4 separate regions of the Mus musculus genome follow, and all the other regions are reported to be linked to region 2. The links are microRNA targets in miRTarBase. Many come from high-throughput screens and were not tested one by one. Region 2 holds a microRNA gene; each other region holds the end of a gene's coding sequence.

Region 1 (4,000 bases), not on the chromosome of region 2:
GAGAAATGAGGCTCAACAGGCAGGGAGAGGCCAGATCATCCAAGCAAAGGAAATTAGCAAAGCTATGTGTCCAGGCTCTTCCACTCCGCAGCCTAGTTATTGAAGAATTTTGAACAAAAGGGTCCCATAATCCAGTAGGTATGATATGAATTTTAAAAAAGGCTAAGAATATTGTGGTTGTTTCCTTTTTGTTTATACATTACAAAAATGGCAAACATCCCTGTGGTATTGACTTTGTAAGACCCTCCTTGTAATTGAATTCAGTGACAGCAAAAGCATTATTTTCATTGAATGATTCCTGAATGATACATCAGAATTATAATAACAGGGCCTTCATAGACTGTGATATAATCCTTGAAGGAGAAGATGAAGTTATGAAAGACACTCTGTCTCTAATGGAAATTTGTCTGGGTGTCCTCAGTGAATGAGATGGTTTATGTAGGACACATCGTTGAGATTCTTGGAGAAACACACACACACAGACACACACACACACACAGACACACACACACAGACACACACACACACACATACACACACACACACATACACACACACACACACACGGAAAAGTTTTCCACTCCACATTTTTATTAGCTCTTTCAGCAAAGCAGTGGATAGATGTGCTAGAAATAAAATTCATTTGCATTTTGCACAATTTTTTATAATTTCAGGCGTTAAGCATCTGAAAGACCAGAATGGATCAGCGTTCCCGGAAGAAGAAGAAAGTGCAAGTGAAAGAGAAGAGAAGTGGAACCATTAATTACCCATCGGTAGCAAGAGGGCTTCTTGGAAATAACTGGACTGTGTACTCTTCTGAATATCCATTGGTACTCCAAAGCTCCGCCTCCAGCATCCTCTTCTGTCTCACCCCCCACCCCCACAGCAGTGTGATCCCCATGGAAGCCCCCTTGACTGAACTGTGAAACCGAGTGCAGATTGCTGTGTACCACTTGCAGTAAAGAATAGGCACTTACTTTACCCCAACTTTTCTTTTCAACTCATCACACCTAGGAATCTGCTGCCACATGAATGTTCTCACTTTGATACTGCCAAAGCTTAAGTCCTCCTGGCCTACGACATAATTTACATTCTAAGGTCAAATGTAGAGAGCATTACAAAATAAATAGCAAATGTGTGTGGGACGAGTGTGAGTGGGGATTAATGGAAGACGGGCATCTGCGGAGGCTCCTAAGTAATAACCGCACTTAGCAAGCTTCTGTGCCCTACATCAGACCCCAGTTTACCTCAAGGAGACAGTGATAGGCAGACATCTGTTGTCTGGCTTCAAAACACCACATCAGATGTTACATGATTTCCATCCAGCAGTTACTTAAAGAAACAAATGTCCCTTTATTTTCTAAGCCATTCAATGTTGGCTTCTCAGCATCATCTAGTTATTGGAAAGGAAATGTTAAATTTGTAAGTAAACATAGCCATTCTCTTCTGCCTTTTCTTTATTATTATTTTTTAACTATTTAAAACGAAGCCATCTATATTGTATCACTTTTGTTTGTCTGGGTTTTTCATTGTTTCTTTCTGTTTTATTGGTGCTAGAGAATGAACCCAGGGCTTTGTATATGCAAATATTCCTCAGTCTTATTGCAGTTTAATATATCCTGACTGTTTTATTCTTCTTCTCTGTGATAGAATAAAAAGAAATATCTCAAAAACTCAGCCATAGACTCACCCATTAATTCGACAACTACTTTTTGTGGAGTTAAAAAAAAATCGCTGTTATTTGGAGATTAGTATTACAACATTCCATCTTTCCCTTTCTCAGTAAACCTTTCTACCCCTCAGCCCTTTTCAAAGTTGTCGCCTCTCTTTTCATTAACTGTTGTAACATACATATCAAAAATGATTTTAAATGTTTTTTCCTAGGAAATTACTCTTTTGGAAGCCATAAAGATAAAGGAAAGCTTATTTTCTCTCTGGAGATAGGGCTACAGCAAGGTTTTGTATGACAATGGGTATTTGTCAGTATGACTTTAACTTAGATTTCTGGCCATTGGGTAATTTTAATTATTCATGATATAGGAATGCACAATTTAGTGGAGATAGATAGTTTTGTTTCTACACTGTTGGTTTTAATGAGATTCAAATATTTCATAGATGTAAAGAAATATCCATCCAAAGCCATTAAAGCAAGGGGTTGGTGATAGGTCAGTGGGTAAGAACGCCTGTCACCAACTGATAGGTTAGTAGATCCCTGAAACCCACAGGCAGGAGGAGAGAATCAATTGTTTCTTACTTCATGAGATGTATTGTATGCCTCTCACTTTTACTACACACCTTAGAATGTGGGACACACACACACACACACACACACACACACACACACACTAAATAATCATAAAAAATCCACTAAGAGAAAATTAAGAAGGGAAGGAAAAATTAAAATGTGAAATTTACTATAAAATCTTAAAGTGCAAATCCAAAAGAATAAGATTTTTTTTTAATTTAAAATTTTATAATGTAGCAAATAAGAGTTTATGTGAAATTATTAACAAATGCAGTAGAAATGAGTTTCACTCAGTGAGAAGCATCCCAAGACTGGATGTTATTGCCCAGTGTCTATCCTGTCCTCTATCTGTCTTCCTCTTCCTCCTCTTTTTCCTCCTTGTTTCCTCTTTCTCTCTTTTCTCTATGTTGTCCTTGATAAATCAATAAACCATTAGAGTCTATTGCCACCTGCCGTGACTATTTTTCTTCCCAAATTCTTCTCTACTGTGAACATCATTAAGGTTCATATTTCTTGTAAATGTGTTTGAGTTTTTTGTTTCAAAACATTCCTGACACCCTTTGAGAGTGTTTGAGACTCCCTGGGGTGCAAACAAAATAATAGTCACCTTTTCCCTTTCCTTGAATATACACTTTTATAAGTGCACCCCTCCCCCACCTTAGGTAAACAGGAAGGATCCAAAGCTCCCCCTGATATCATATTATCATTTTAGGACATGTGCAGCCTGACTTTTGAGCTGCTTTCTTTTCCTCTCTGTTGTTAATGGTATCAAACCATGAGATGCATGTTTTCCTGGGGGAATGTTGTTTCTTCTGTTCCTTGGTCCACTCTCAAAACAAATCAATTACAGTTTAAAGTTTTTCTTGGGAAATGTGTGTCATTCTTGCATAATTGAAGGAGACTGGAGCTGAGATAGTGGGCTCTCAATTTCCTTTTCACACAGTTACAGTCTACATTGAAAGCCTGTTCCCACAAGGAGACAGTATGGCTTTAGTTTGGTTGAACAGGCAAAGAAACTGACTGACGCAGACCCCTTCAAATTCTGTATTTGCCAAACCTCATTCATAAGATGTTATGATGGTTAATAGACAGGCTTTGAGTCACCCCATCTACGATTCAAATTCAACCTCTATCAAGTCTTAGTCTCAGTTTTCCAAATCTCCATTTGCAAAATAAGTTTATTCAATTTGAACCTTCATTGTTTTTGAGACTTATATGATGAGCTATGAAATGCTTAGATTAGCCAAGTGGGCACTGCTACCATGGCTAGAAAAGATTCTGAAAACGTATGTGAAAATTTCACCTACTGTGTGAATTTACCTACTGTGTGATCCTCACCTACTGTGTGATCCTCACCTACTGTATGAACTCACCTACTGTGTGATCCTCACCTATTGTATGAACTCACCTACTGCGTGATCCTCACCTACTAGTCTTTTGGGGCCTGCACACAGGGCCTGCACAGGTCTGCACCAGTCCTCTGTATATGTATTATAGCTACTAGTCTTTTGGACTGTGGGTTCTAGAGATCAGCTCTCACTCACTCTCTAGCAACTCTGCCCCTGTATCAACTCATCAATGAAACTAGCATCGCCGTGCTAGACTGGCTAGCCTATGTGCCCCTGCATGGTCCCGTTTCTTCTTTACTGAAGACTCTAGCATCCCTCTATCTCCTCTTCTATGCCAGCCCTCATGCATCAGGAAACCACCTCCCAGACAATTTCTTCTCTTAGGTCAAATATCATCATTTCCCCC
Region 2 (4,151 bases):
CCATTAAGAATGATGATATCCTCAGTTTTGCAGGCAAATGGATGGAACTAGTAAATATCAACCTGAGTGATGTAACTCAGACCCAAAAGGACATGCATAGTATATACTTACTAATAAGTGATATTAGCAAAAAAAAATAGTGCTGAAAATCCAAGATACAGACTACAGAACTAAAAAAAGGTCAACAAGCTGAAGGGTCCAAGTGAGGATGCCTCAGTCATACTTGGGAGGGAGAAGAAAGCAACCACAAGAGGGGAGGGAGGGACATGGGGTGGGGAAAGGGAAAGAGGGGAGGAGAGGGGAACATGAACAGGTAGTGGATGGGTGAAAAGGACTGAAATCCCTGTGGGCAAGCAGAAAGAATCGAAACAATCAACCTCGGGAGGTAGGAAGTTGGGGAACCCTACAGAATGTACCAGAGACCTAGGAGACAAGACACTCTCAGGACTCAAGGAGAGGGACCTTAGATGAAATGCCCTATTGTGGGGAGAGGAAACTTGTAGAGCCTATCTCCAGCAGAAAGATAGGGCATCACGTGAGGGATGGGATTGCCATCCCACAGTCACAAATTCTGACCCATAATTGTACCTGTGTGAAAGAACTACACGGATGGGAGTGGAGAGGAGCTTGATGAAAAGAAGATCCAGTGATAGGCTCAAAGTGGGATCCAGCTCAAGAGGGGGCTCTAAGACCTAACACTATTACAGAGGCAATGGAGTGCTCACAAAAAGGGACATATCATGACTGCCCTTTGAAACACCCAACAGCAGCTGAAAGAGTCATATGCAGATATTTGTACCCAACCAATGGACAGAAGCTGCTGACTCCTGTGGTTGAGTTAGGGGGAAGGTGGAAGAAGTTGAGGAAGAGGGTGATCCTGTAGGAGGAACAGCAGTTTCAATTAACCTAGATCCTGAAGATCTCTCAGATACTGGACCAAGAACCAGGCAGCATGCCACCAGCTGATATGAGGCCCCCAACACATATACAGTACAGGACTGCTGGGTCTGGGTTTAGTCAGAGAAGCTGGACCTAACCCTCAAGAGACTGGAGGCCCCAGGGATTTCAGAGGTCTGGTATTTTTGGGGTGGTGGATGGGGACATCCTTATGGAGACGGGGTGGGGAAGGAGGAGAGAAGGTATGGGATGTGGATTAGTGAGAGGGTGGAAAAGGGGAATAAAATCTGGAGTTTAAAATTAATTAGTTCATTAAAAGAAAAAATTGAATCTCTAAGACCTCTGATAGCAGCAGGATAATAGGAAGTAAGATCACAAGTATTATACTTATCTGCCCAAGTGGTCCTTGGGTGAGAGATATTCTAGTGTCTTCAAATGTTACATCTTGAAGCTCTCAGAGCATATCATGGTGCCACTTAAAAACAGACCCTGCCAGAGCAATTCAGCACAGTGTCTTCCACAAGGGAGAGAAAGGAACGGCATATCCCTGATACCTGCCAGAAAGTGATGCGCAAAATGAATCATCATCCTTTTCCTTAAGGCTGACGAAGCTATGACACATCTTAAACCGAGGAAAACAACTTAGAGGCTTAATTACATTTCCTTCATAGTAAACAGGTACAGGTGACTCAGCACAGGAGTGCAGGGAATCCTACCATACACCTGATTATGCTGGGGTTCTGTTGCCTCTATCTCCTGGTTTCAGAAGCAACCATCCTTGTCTGGAGCAGCTTACAGTCAGGCTTTGGCTAAATGCAGCTGAAAGCTGAACTTTAGCCAGGAGCCTGACTGATGAAAATCCTGGCTGCAGAGAATTTTATTTTCTCTAGTTGCTTCTGATTCTCCAATCAGAAGTACGTATATTCAAATAGAGAATGATAAGAGCCAATGAGAGAAGAGATCTCAAACCTAGGAAGTGCCTGCAGTCACCATGGAGATCTCCATCAGACATGCTGATTCATGTACCTCTAGTTTCCCCCTGGGTGTTACAGTAGAAGCAAGGAGATAGAAAGGGAAAAAAACAGGAAAAAAATTGTTCTCAGCTCTGCCTCCAATTGATAACAGACAAAATCAGCCAGTGCTGCTTGAGGGCTGATCATGTACCTCATTATTTTATCATAGATCCTGACGATCTACAAGAAAAAATCCATTTCTGTTTGCATTCTCATTATTTGACTCTGGGCTACCAAGTGAAGCTGTCTGCTGATTCTTTCTCATCTGCCTTTTCCTTTTCCCCAAATTCCATGATGATCTGCATGATTATATAATATATTTATGTCTATTATAATGACCTATATAAGGGTGCTTAAAATGTAAATAGAAATGTTCTTCACAAGCCATAGTCTAAATCTACTTATTTAACATTGAATATCTCTGAGTCATAATGATAGAGAAATAATTTAGGACATTTTTGTATTTTTGAAAGAAAGGTTTCTAACATGCATGTTCTATATGTTCATCAAAATATACAGAGGAAAAATATGAATTCCTATCTACCTTTTTGATCAGGACAAAAACATTCAGGTATGAGTTACAAAATGAAATTTCATAATCTTAGTTGGAAATACTACAAATGCAGGTTCTAAAAGCCACATTATACCTGAAATTTAAAATAATCCAAGGACATCAATAGTTGCCATATCCTTTGGGCATTATCTTGGAAGGCATCATTAGTGTAGTCATTAGGCAAAATAAGTACTAGGCATTCCTGTTTTTTAAATATGTTTGGCTTTTGATAGATAGTTTTCAAAATTGAAAAGGGCATAATCATTTACACAAAAAAATCGTGAGTTAGAAAAAATATGTTTACCTCTAATCATAATTTTAACAAACCAGTACGAAATAAGAAAACATAAATTTTCAATAGACTTTTATAGAAAAGCAATGTAAAATAAAATACAAATGTCAGGAAGCAGGTTGTTTTACAAGACCATCAGCTGGGTGTAGTGGACTGCATCTGCATTTGGGAGATTCTTATGATGCTGAGGGGAAGCATAGCTTTACTGATAAATTTTGGATCACAATGGGCAGCACAGTGAGATTTTAACAGAAATCTATGGCATATATTACAAGAACAACACAGGGATAAATACAACACATGCATAGCTTGAACTATAACCCCAAAATTAATATGTATATAAATGTTTCAGCAGTAACTGCTGCAAAATTTTGTAAAGAAGGCAGTGTAATCCCTCTAAGAAAGCTACAATAGTATTCACAAAATGATGTGAAAATGCTATCCTGAATACGAAAACAGATTATGAAGAATTCTTCTATAGTTCTTGAATAAACAATAGTTATCAATGAAAATTTAACAACTGAATAAGATAAATAAAACCATATCTGACATATGAACAAACTTGTAAGTTCAATATGTTTAACTTAATTGTTTTATTATTTCATTGGTAGACAACACAGTCTCATTCTAAGAACAGAACTTTTCAAATTATTTTTTCTGATATTTAACTTTTCAAGGGTTGTATTTTTTAGATGAAATATCAGAAGAATATGAGTTGCTTGCAATAATCCTTTTCTATATTGATCAGCTGTATAAATCCCTCTATTCTTATGATGAATAGTCAGTTTAATTTCATATGCTAACTTCATTCAGGTAGCAGGGACAGATTTCAAAACAAGTTGTGAAATCAAGTTTCAGCACTGATAGCACTATGGATAATTAATATTTTAAACTGGACTCTTTAAAGCAAGTAGATTGTTAGCAGACTAAAACAATATATTTGGAGTCATAAATTATTTTTAATGTTCTCTGTTTTGCAAAGCTATTATGAAATTACTCAGACTTGATTAACGCTGTACTCACCATAAATGGAAAAACACCAACTCTTTAATTTTCTCCTTTGCTTTATCTCTCCCTGACACTTTCAGCTTGGTATCTATCTCTATATCATCATACCCTAAATGTTATCAGCTATTCCTATGGATGCATCATTCTAAGAGTCACAAAACTTCTTCCTCTGATGTTTTCTCAGTAATGCAATGCTTGCCTTGCTGCTACAGTTTGCTCATTTGTTTCTATTGTAGCTCAACTAACCATCAGTTCTGACCCTATATTTGTTCACTCTCAGAAGGCTAGAAGGGAGAATCTAAAGGAATCAAATAGACTTTGCAAAAGGCCACCAGATAATATCTAAAGTCTACAACTATAAATGATTTCTGTTTTAGGATGAAATGTT
Region 3 (4,000 bases), not on the chromosome of region 2:
GCCAGGTCCACGATTTTTCTCAGACCAAGACCGGTATCATGAAGAGGCTACGGGAGTATGGCTAGTAAATTGGGGATATATAGTGCCTTCCCTTCCGAGACAGTGAGTCCACCTCATCCCATAGTCCTGTGGCTGTCAGCTGTCTCCCTATCTGGACTGCCACAAACTGATCTGGAAAGCAGAAGAGCTGAGCCTTTAACCTTCCTAGCTCCTGGGTCCAAGAGAAGCAGGCCCACCCTAAATTGCTTTGCATTTCAAAAAGCCTGGAGAAAGAGACAGGCTTTTCATTTATCAGCACTGGAGTTTTTTAAAGCAATTTATATTTTCTTTTTCAGGTCGAAATAAGTAATGACATTGACTCTGAAATGCGGCTCCTGGACTTGAGTTAGGGAACAAAGCACCATTGGCCTCTAGCTCTGGGGATCCTACAGCGTCACCTTCCTCCTAGACAGCAGGACTGCGCCCCCTGCCGACCAGACCAGCGAACACGGAGCTGCGAGGTCTTTGGTCTCAGCCTGTGTAACATTAGCGTTGTTTGCTAGATGCGTTCTGGGTGCTTGGGTGGGTTTGTTTTTTTTGTTTTGTTTTGTTTTGTTTTGTTTTTAAAGTCATCTTCTTATATAAGCACTTGTAAATTGTAAAAAAAATGGTTTTAAATTGTTTTTAATTTAACTTGAGGCATGCAAAATGAAAAAAAAAAATCTATGAAAATCTTCTCCAAGTCATTTCTAAGAGGATTGTCTGTGTTATTGAGCTGTGACATCCAGGTTACTGGACCCTGAACCCTGCTAAGCTAATGGTTTTGTATACACAGACATTGCCTTTGGGCATCAGACACAAGGGTAGACCTGTGGCAGACTGCACAAAGACTGGATCTAACTTTCCAACCTAGCAAAGATCACTGTTTAAACAGCACCAGACACAGACAAAACATGAAGCCCTTTGTTCTGAATCTCTAAAGAGTGCACAATCTCTAAATAGTCCGATATAAATGTGCAGATCCGTGTATCTCTTGTCCTTGCAATGTTCCAAGACACACATGTATGTGCGTGTTTATATTATGACTGAGTACAAACCCAGAATGATGTGTGGAACCCTTCCTAGGCAGGGAGTTGGCTGGCTGTGAGCTTCGTATTTTCTGCTCTTAGTTTCACTCTCACCACTGATGTCAGACCTATACATACAGCTCAAGGGCTGTGGGACAGAAATCACAGCCATAAATCTGTAGTCAGGAACGTTTTGAATATTCAAAGGGGGCATTCAAATGCTATAGAATTCTCTATAGAGATCTGTAACAAAAATATTTATGCCTGAGTTACATCAGTTTTTCTTTCTTTTTCCCCATTCATCCCAATAATCAAGAAAATTAAGTGGAAAATCTAATTTTCTAAGGGGGAGAATAGGTCCATCTTGGAAAAAGTATTGCAATTCTGGGGCCTTTTAGATTCAAATGAAATATAGATATGGTGAAATGCATAGGTTTTTAAGGGTACAATGAGAAGTGCACAAACTTAATGAGCAGTGCTTCAACCAAAATACAGAACATGTCTGACCCTTTAGGAACCTTCCTTGGTCCCCTTTTCCATTGGTCTCCATGATGCCATTGATCCCCAACAAATACCACATTAGAAATTGCAGTGTGCTTGACTTAGTCTGCTGATGTAAACTGGTTTTGACCAAATACCTGGCCATTGTAAAGTGGCCAAGTAGATGGATAAAATCCATGTTGATTCTCACTGCTAAGGTTTAACTGCATCGCTGATGAACTGTCTGCTCACCGTATAAGGCAGGTATTTGTCTCACCACATTGTTTTCCTGTCTCTGCCTTAGTTCTCATGTGAAAAGCCATTCTGGTCCTTTTGTACACACACAAAAATTGAGTCTTCCCTTCATCACAGTTCTGTCTGTCCACTGTTTGCTCCAGAGTCAGTCCAGTGCAGCTCACATATCTCTAAGGCATCCATAAACCACTGAAATTGGTACAAAGTTTTGTATGCTTGTGGAAGTCTCTCTGTTCCCTCTTCTCCCTCTTATATGCATAGATTTCATGAGTCTGCTATCAGAATTTAATGCAATCCCCTCTGCCCTAATGCCTCGAAGTTCATGTACTAGGCTGTATCCTGTCCTTTAGCTGGTACTCCCACTGAGTTCTCTCCTACAGAATAAACCTAGATTCTAAATGACAGGGAGCTCTTGGAACCTGAAAGGTGGTGCCATCAAACTCCCATTTGAGGAGACCAGGGTTGTGGCAGGGTGTAGAAGAATAACACAAAGGCCATGTCTTGGCACCAAGTCTTTGCACTCATGACCAACCTGGCTCCAGGCACAGCCTTCTTTTGAATGAATGACTTACTCTTCCTTGGAGCAACCAGCTAAATTATGTGGAAATGCAAGAGCTAGGATGGCATCAGCTTATTTATGGGAACTTCCAATCATGTGCCAGCAAAAGTTAGGCAGAAAGATAAAAGGATTAGAGAACTCTCGGACATGAAGTGGCTTGAGCATGGAGCAGTCCATATCAGAGAAAAACTATATGAGTATGTTCTCCAATGATCTTAGCCTCCTTTTTACCACCATAGAAAGGGTGAGGGTGTGACCCTGAAACAAGAACATGTCTTCATACAACTCTAAACCTTGAATGTGGTTGGTTCACCTTTTTTTAGAAGATAACATGGCATCTTGTTCTAGCAATATATTGATGCATTTTCTTATCCCTTTGGTAAAACAAACCTCGCTGTTCCCATAAGCCCAAATAACAGAGGCAGCTATCTTTTAGTAGCTCAACCTGACAGGATATAGCAAAATGACTGGCTACCTGTTTCATCCAATGAACAGCCCTTTTCTGATAAGCGAAATTTGTCTACGTTAAAATCAACTGAAATGTGTGTTGTGAAGGCGAGAAAAAACATCATGACCGCTAAATGGAGGAGCAAGTAAAAACCAAAATTGCACTTTTTGTCTCTGAAAATTAGAATCTTGCCAAGATAAAACAGACTTTCATTTTTTTTTTTTACTTAATCTTAAATTTTATGTTCCCAAAATAGTCTCACTATGGAAAACAGAGATTCTGAGTGTGTGGTTTTTAAAGTAAATACTTATCACTTATGAGTCACTTTAATAAGGAATTCAGAAAAAAAAACTTTATAGGTTGATTAGAATTCAGGTGTTCTGATTTGACATTTTAGCCCAAACAATATACACTTTCTTTCAAGAGTTGGATGAATAAAGTAGGAAAAAATACAAATAACTGATGTGTTATGGACTGGCCATGGGCAGCTCAGATGAAACCAAGTCCAAGACAGATATTTCTACACTAATGAGCTAACTCCAGGGTGGCTTAATGTGTTCCTGAACTAGCCCCAAGCTGTGAGCAAAGCTACTGACCAATGAAATGTTTACAAACTTGGATTTTTGGAAAAGGCCCTTAGACCTGGCTTCTCTACTCTCTCCGTGGATACCCATCAGCAAGAAGAAATAAAAACTGGCTTCTGGTGTGGTCCTCGCTTCAGTGACTGTTGATCTTCTGACACCATTGTTGAGCTCACACATGCCCACTTGTCTTTTAAAGACTCGGAAACCTTAAATTTCCAAACTTACAAAACATATTTTCAATAAGCAAGTGGTCTATAACATTTTGAAGTCAAGGAGTCTTTTAAGTGTCCAGAAGTCAACTTTAAATATTTGTTATAAATAAGGCTACAAAATAAGAATATTTTATCCAAGAGCAAAACCAATGGAAAGCATTACTCCTTGTGTGATTAAGTAATGTGCCACTCAGAAAGGAAGTTGGTACATTTTAAACATCAGACAAATGTATTTATTAAGAAAATGAAATCTGAAAAGTGGAAGACTAGAAAAATTCACATTTTGTTTTGTGAGTGGTATCTCTTTTGCTCCTGAAGAGAGTTTAGAGAAAAGGCTATTTCTTCATGGTGGATAAACCTTCTTAAATCCTGGGATCTTTCAGGGAGTCAGCACCCACAGAGAATTAACCATTGCC
Region 4 (4,000 bases), not on the chromosome of region 2:
CCAGCCACTGGCTGGTAGGTTTGCCACTGCTGTACCAGTTGACACATTTGGCTTGCCCAGTTGGTAGTGTAGTGAGTCAGGCTGTTGACTACCATTCTCCCTGCAGCATCCTGCATGGCGCAGCGCCTCGCAATATGGAGGACTAGCCAATGGGGAAGAAACTTCCTTACCTACTTCAGTTTGGTTTCCCTATGTTCCACAATTGGAGCCTGTGATGTCTTTAGAGCTACAGTTCCATGGCCTGGCTCTGATGCCAGACAGTGACAGTGGCAGTGGCCTATATTATTCTAGGCCCCTGAATACCTCCATGACCAACAACTGTTCAAAGGGAGGTTAGATGACAAGGTAAAGAGCTTTGGGAAATTTTACAAATAATTTTACAGACCATAAAATGTAATGGCACACTGTAAGAACTTACTGGAGGGGCGGAGGGGATAGGGAGCTCACTGTGGGCTACGGGGGATTAGAGGGAAAGCCCACCCCTCTGCTCACACAGTTTCTTCTGCCCTCCCAGGTACCGTGTGGTGGTCTCCTACCCTCCACAGAGTGAAGCGGAGATCGAGCTAAAGGAAGGTGATATCGTCTTCGTGCACAAGAAGCATGAAGACGGCTGGTTCAAGGGGACACTGCAGCGGAATGGCCGCACAGGTCTCTTCCCAGGCAGCTTTGTGGAGAGCTTCTGAGGACCACTGCTCATGGCTAGCTTCTGTTGTCCTGGAGAGAGCAGAGGATGCCCGCCTTATCACCAAAGTCCGAGCGAGGTTCTTTCTAAAGCACCGGCCAGAAACAAGCCGATGATTCACGTGAAGTCCTTATTGGAAGCACACATGGGCCATGGCGTGTTTGTGAAGATAGGCCATATCCTCATGTGACATCCTACTGGAAGCACATGTGAGTGTCCTGCAAGACCACGCCATGAGTCTGAGTGAGCAGTAGCACAGAAAATGTTACCCACATGGACAAAGGCGCTGCTCTGTCACCCAGCGGCTAAAGCGTTATTGTGTAAGGTTGGGAGCCCGGGAGGGTATAGAGTTGGGCCATGTGCTAGGGCTGACAGCAAGAAGAGCATCTTCCCTGCCTGCCCTGGGTACCATTCCTCTATATACCTCTGTCACCTACCACCAGGCCTCACCGCCAGGGCATTCATGGTTCAGGAGCCTCATAGAAGGGCTGTGAGCCTCCCAAGGTGTCCAGTGGGGTCCTGTGGGGCACTGGAGCAGAACCCTCTTGTCTTTGTCTCCTACTGGGATAATGAGGTGCACCGTCCAGTTCCTCCGCCGCTGTCTTCACACTGCTTCCTTCTTACGGCACACCTTTTTAATGTACAACTCTTAGACTTTATATATTTCTAATAGGTCAGACGCTGCATATTTTTCATACATCTGGTGCTGATTTTTTGTAAAACCAACCTGGGTAAGTGTCAAGGGGGGAAAAAAAGAAGTAACATCAAAGGAAAGTTTTCTATATTTCCCAGATGAAGTTTGGAGCATATTGAGGAATTCCTATCTGTAATATCACAATGCTGGCTGGTGCTCCATGCAGCGAGAGGGAGGGTCTGTGGAGAGGGTGCATGGAGTCGGAGCGTCTTCCCAAACGGCTGGAAATAGCTAACCCACAAGCTCCATCTAGATGAGAGTGATTGCTATGACTAAAAAACTGGAAACAAATGAAGGAGTGGGTTCTGCCTTTGTGTGTGGCAGAAAATGCACATAGACAGACAGACAGACACATACACATATATACACACACAGACAGACAGACACACACACATATACACAGACAACACACACACTCACACAGACACACACACACACACAGACACACACACATACATAGACAACACACACACACTCACACATACACACACACAGACACACAGACACACACACAGACACACACTGACCCCAGAAGCTTCCTTTGATTGCTTTAAAGAGAATGACTAAAAATAGCATTCTGAAAGCACGTCTTTCTACCAAAATGCAGCTTTTACAACAGCTCAGATCCACTCTCTTGCAAAGGATTTTTTTTTCCTTTTCAAAAATAAATAGCTTGCCCTCTGAGGCCAGGCAAAACTCATCTGCTAGAGACCAAAGGTACAGTGATAACACAAGCCTGATGCTTGTCTATAGACTTACAGGGCCTGCAGACGCTGGAAAGGAATGAGGGCTGGTCTCTGACTCTGAGGCCTTACGTATATTCACTGTCACAACAGCTTGCTGCCCAGGAGGCTAGCCTGATGGCTATCAGGAGGTGTGAGTGTCACACTCTAAGAACACTTTTTTTTTTTCAAAAATTTCTCAAAAAAAATAGCAATTTGTGAGCCTCTGGGTACATTTTTATAAAATCATGCAGCCCTGTATCAAGTCTTTGGTAGCAGAGGCTATCACTGATTTTCATAATAAAATAAAGAGCACTTATGCTCAACGTTTCTGTCTGGGGATATGACTAACTAGTTGTGACTGCCGGGTGGCTACCACATGGATGTAATCACACCCAGACGGTCTCACCCTCCCCCAGGTGATAGCACCCTTATTGGACATAGAAAACTGTTGTGAGCCAAAGAGACGCTCTATCTCAGACATAGGGACCCCTGTATGCAGGCTCGGTGACAACCACATGATATCTACTCAGTGTCACTGCTAAATGACTTGCCCATCCATGCACAAAAGATCTAGGTATGGTTCCGTGCTGCCACCATGGAGGTAACACAGATCTACATCCTGGGTGAGGCATGTTTTCAGTGGAACCAGAGCTAACTCCAGATCCCAGACAATGAAGCAAGTCCCTTTCCCTTCTAAACAAGGTCAACTCTGAGTCAACAGAACAGACTTCACTTGGAACTGTCTTCCTTTCTTGCACTGGCTGCCTCGTGATAGAGGAAGTAGCAGCCTCACAGAAAGCAGAGGAAAGCATCAAGGTACCGTGGAAAACATCAGCTGAATCCTCTCCTAGCAAAGTTTACACTGCGACCAGCATGGGGAGGGAAGCAGGGCCCTGGGGCTCATTCTCAGGTGGGGCTTTTGAGACACACAATGAACCCCATGGTCTGAGTATTCTGAACACTCCCAAGCCCTTGAGCCTTCAAAAATCATGTTTTCCACAGCCAATGACAGAAAAGAGGTACCTTTCCTAAGGTCATCTTCCCTTGAGGACACACGTCTGTGGCACCAAAATGAAGCCAGCACCTCATCTAGAACCTTCACATTCCGTCCTGGCCAGCAGCATGTGCCCCTTACTCATACACTTGTATTTGGTGGCCACGTGGGTTTCACTCCTTAGTTCTCAGCCCTTCAGATAGACGGTCAGCAAGGAGACAGGACAGTCTAGCCTCCAGAGGACTGATGGATCTCGAGAGACAAGATGGTCCATAGTGAGGCGTAAATACAAGGCGGAGCACCCCAAAATCAGCCCAGTAGATGTGGAAGCCCTTGTACTTTGCACAACACACACCGAGACAGACAGACAGAAAGACACGTGCACACGTGTGCTCCCAACCCCACATATGTTTTTATTATACACCAATGTCAGTGTGTGATTTTAGATGAATTGACAGTAGTGGCCATCTCTGATGCCTGTGTTTCTGAGTCTTTAAATAAAGATGAACATGGAGAGGCTGTGTGTCTCAATAACGGGACCAATGCAGGTGGGGTAGGCGTGAGCCTGAGAGGTTGGGATTCAGGCCCTGGGGGGGGGGCACTGAACTGAGGGTGTTGGTTTAGTTGCTGGTCTATGGCTGTGAAGAGACACCATGACCAAGAGACGCTTGGGAGCTTGCTTAAAGCTTCAGAGTGGTAATCCCCAATCATTATGGTAGGAAGCGTGGCGGCAGGCAGGCAGGCAGGCAGGCAGGCAGGCAGGCAGGCAGGCAGGCAGGCAGGCAGGCAGGCAGGCAGGCAGGCATGGGACTGGAGCAGAAGCTGAGAGCTCAGTTGCAGGCAGAGAGCGAGGGAGACTGGACCTGGCATGGCTTATGACACCTCAGAGCCCATCCCCAATGATA

Evidence for each region. Region 2 holds the annotated microRNA mmu-miR-344b-3p (CAUUUAGCCAAAGCCUGACUGU, at 1,692-1,713, opposite strand). A microRNA usually pairs through its seed, bases 2 to 8, with sites in the 3' UTR of a target mRNA and lowers its output. Matches are read on the target gene's strand: a 7mer-m8 pairs with bases 2 to 8, a 7mer-A1 pairs with bases 2 to 7 and ends in A, and an 8mer does both.
Region 1: miRTarBase lists Ppp1r1c as a target of mmu-miR-344b-3p. Seed matches in the 3' UTR shown: 7mer-A1 at 2,346-2,352.
Region 3: the mRNA of Nkain3 is a reported target of mmu-miR-344b-3p. Seed matches in the 3' UTR shown: 7mer-A1 at 974-980, 7mer-m8 at 2,372-2,378 and 7mer-m8 at 2,917-2,923.
Region 4: miRTarBase lists Sh3rf3 as a target of mmu-miR-344b-3p. Seed matches in the 3' UTR shown: 7mer-m8 at 2,639-2,645.

What each region holds. Positions count from the first base shown.
Region 1 is chr2:79,807,628-79,811,627 of GRCm38, forward strand. Ppp1r1c (protein phosphatase 1, regulatory inhibitor subunit 1C) reads left to right here. Exons shown (of 5, transcript NM_172420.4): 5 at 675-3,113. The coding sequence ends at 763. Among named protein-coding and RNA genes, the nearest start is that of Ppp1r1c, 100 kb to the left of the region's middle.
Region 2 is chr7:61,788,831-61,792,981 of GRCm38, forward strand. It overlaps Mir344b (microRNA 344b), which reads right to left and starts at 1,751; the gene lies at 1,689-1,751. The region is part of intron 6 of A230057D06Rik (RIKEN cDNA A230057D06 gene); the gene reads right to left.
Region 3 is chr4:20,118,992-20,122,991 of GRCm38, reverse strand. Nkain3 (Na+/K+ transporting ATPase interacting 3) reads left to right here. Exons shown (of 6, transcript NM_001290410.1): 6 at 336-4,000. The coding sequence ends at 349. Among named protein-coding and RNA genes, the nearest start is that of Ggh, 79 kb to the right of the region's middle.
Region 4 is chr10:59,135,306-59,139,305 of GRCm38, forward strand. It overlaps Sh3rf3 (SH3 domain containing ring finger 3), which reads left to right. Exons shown (of 10, transcript NM_172788.3): 10 at 515-3,611. The coding sequence ends at 683. Among named protein-coding and RNA genes, the nearest start is that of Gm23223, 58 kb to the right of the region's middle.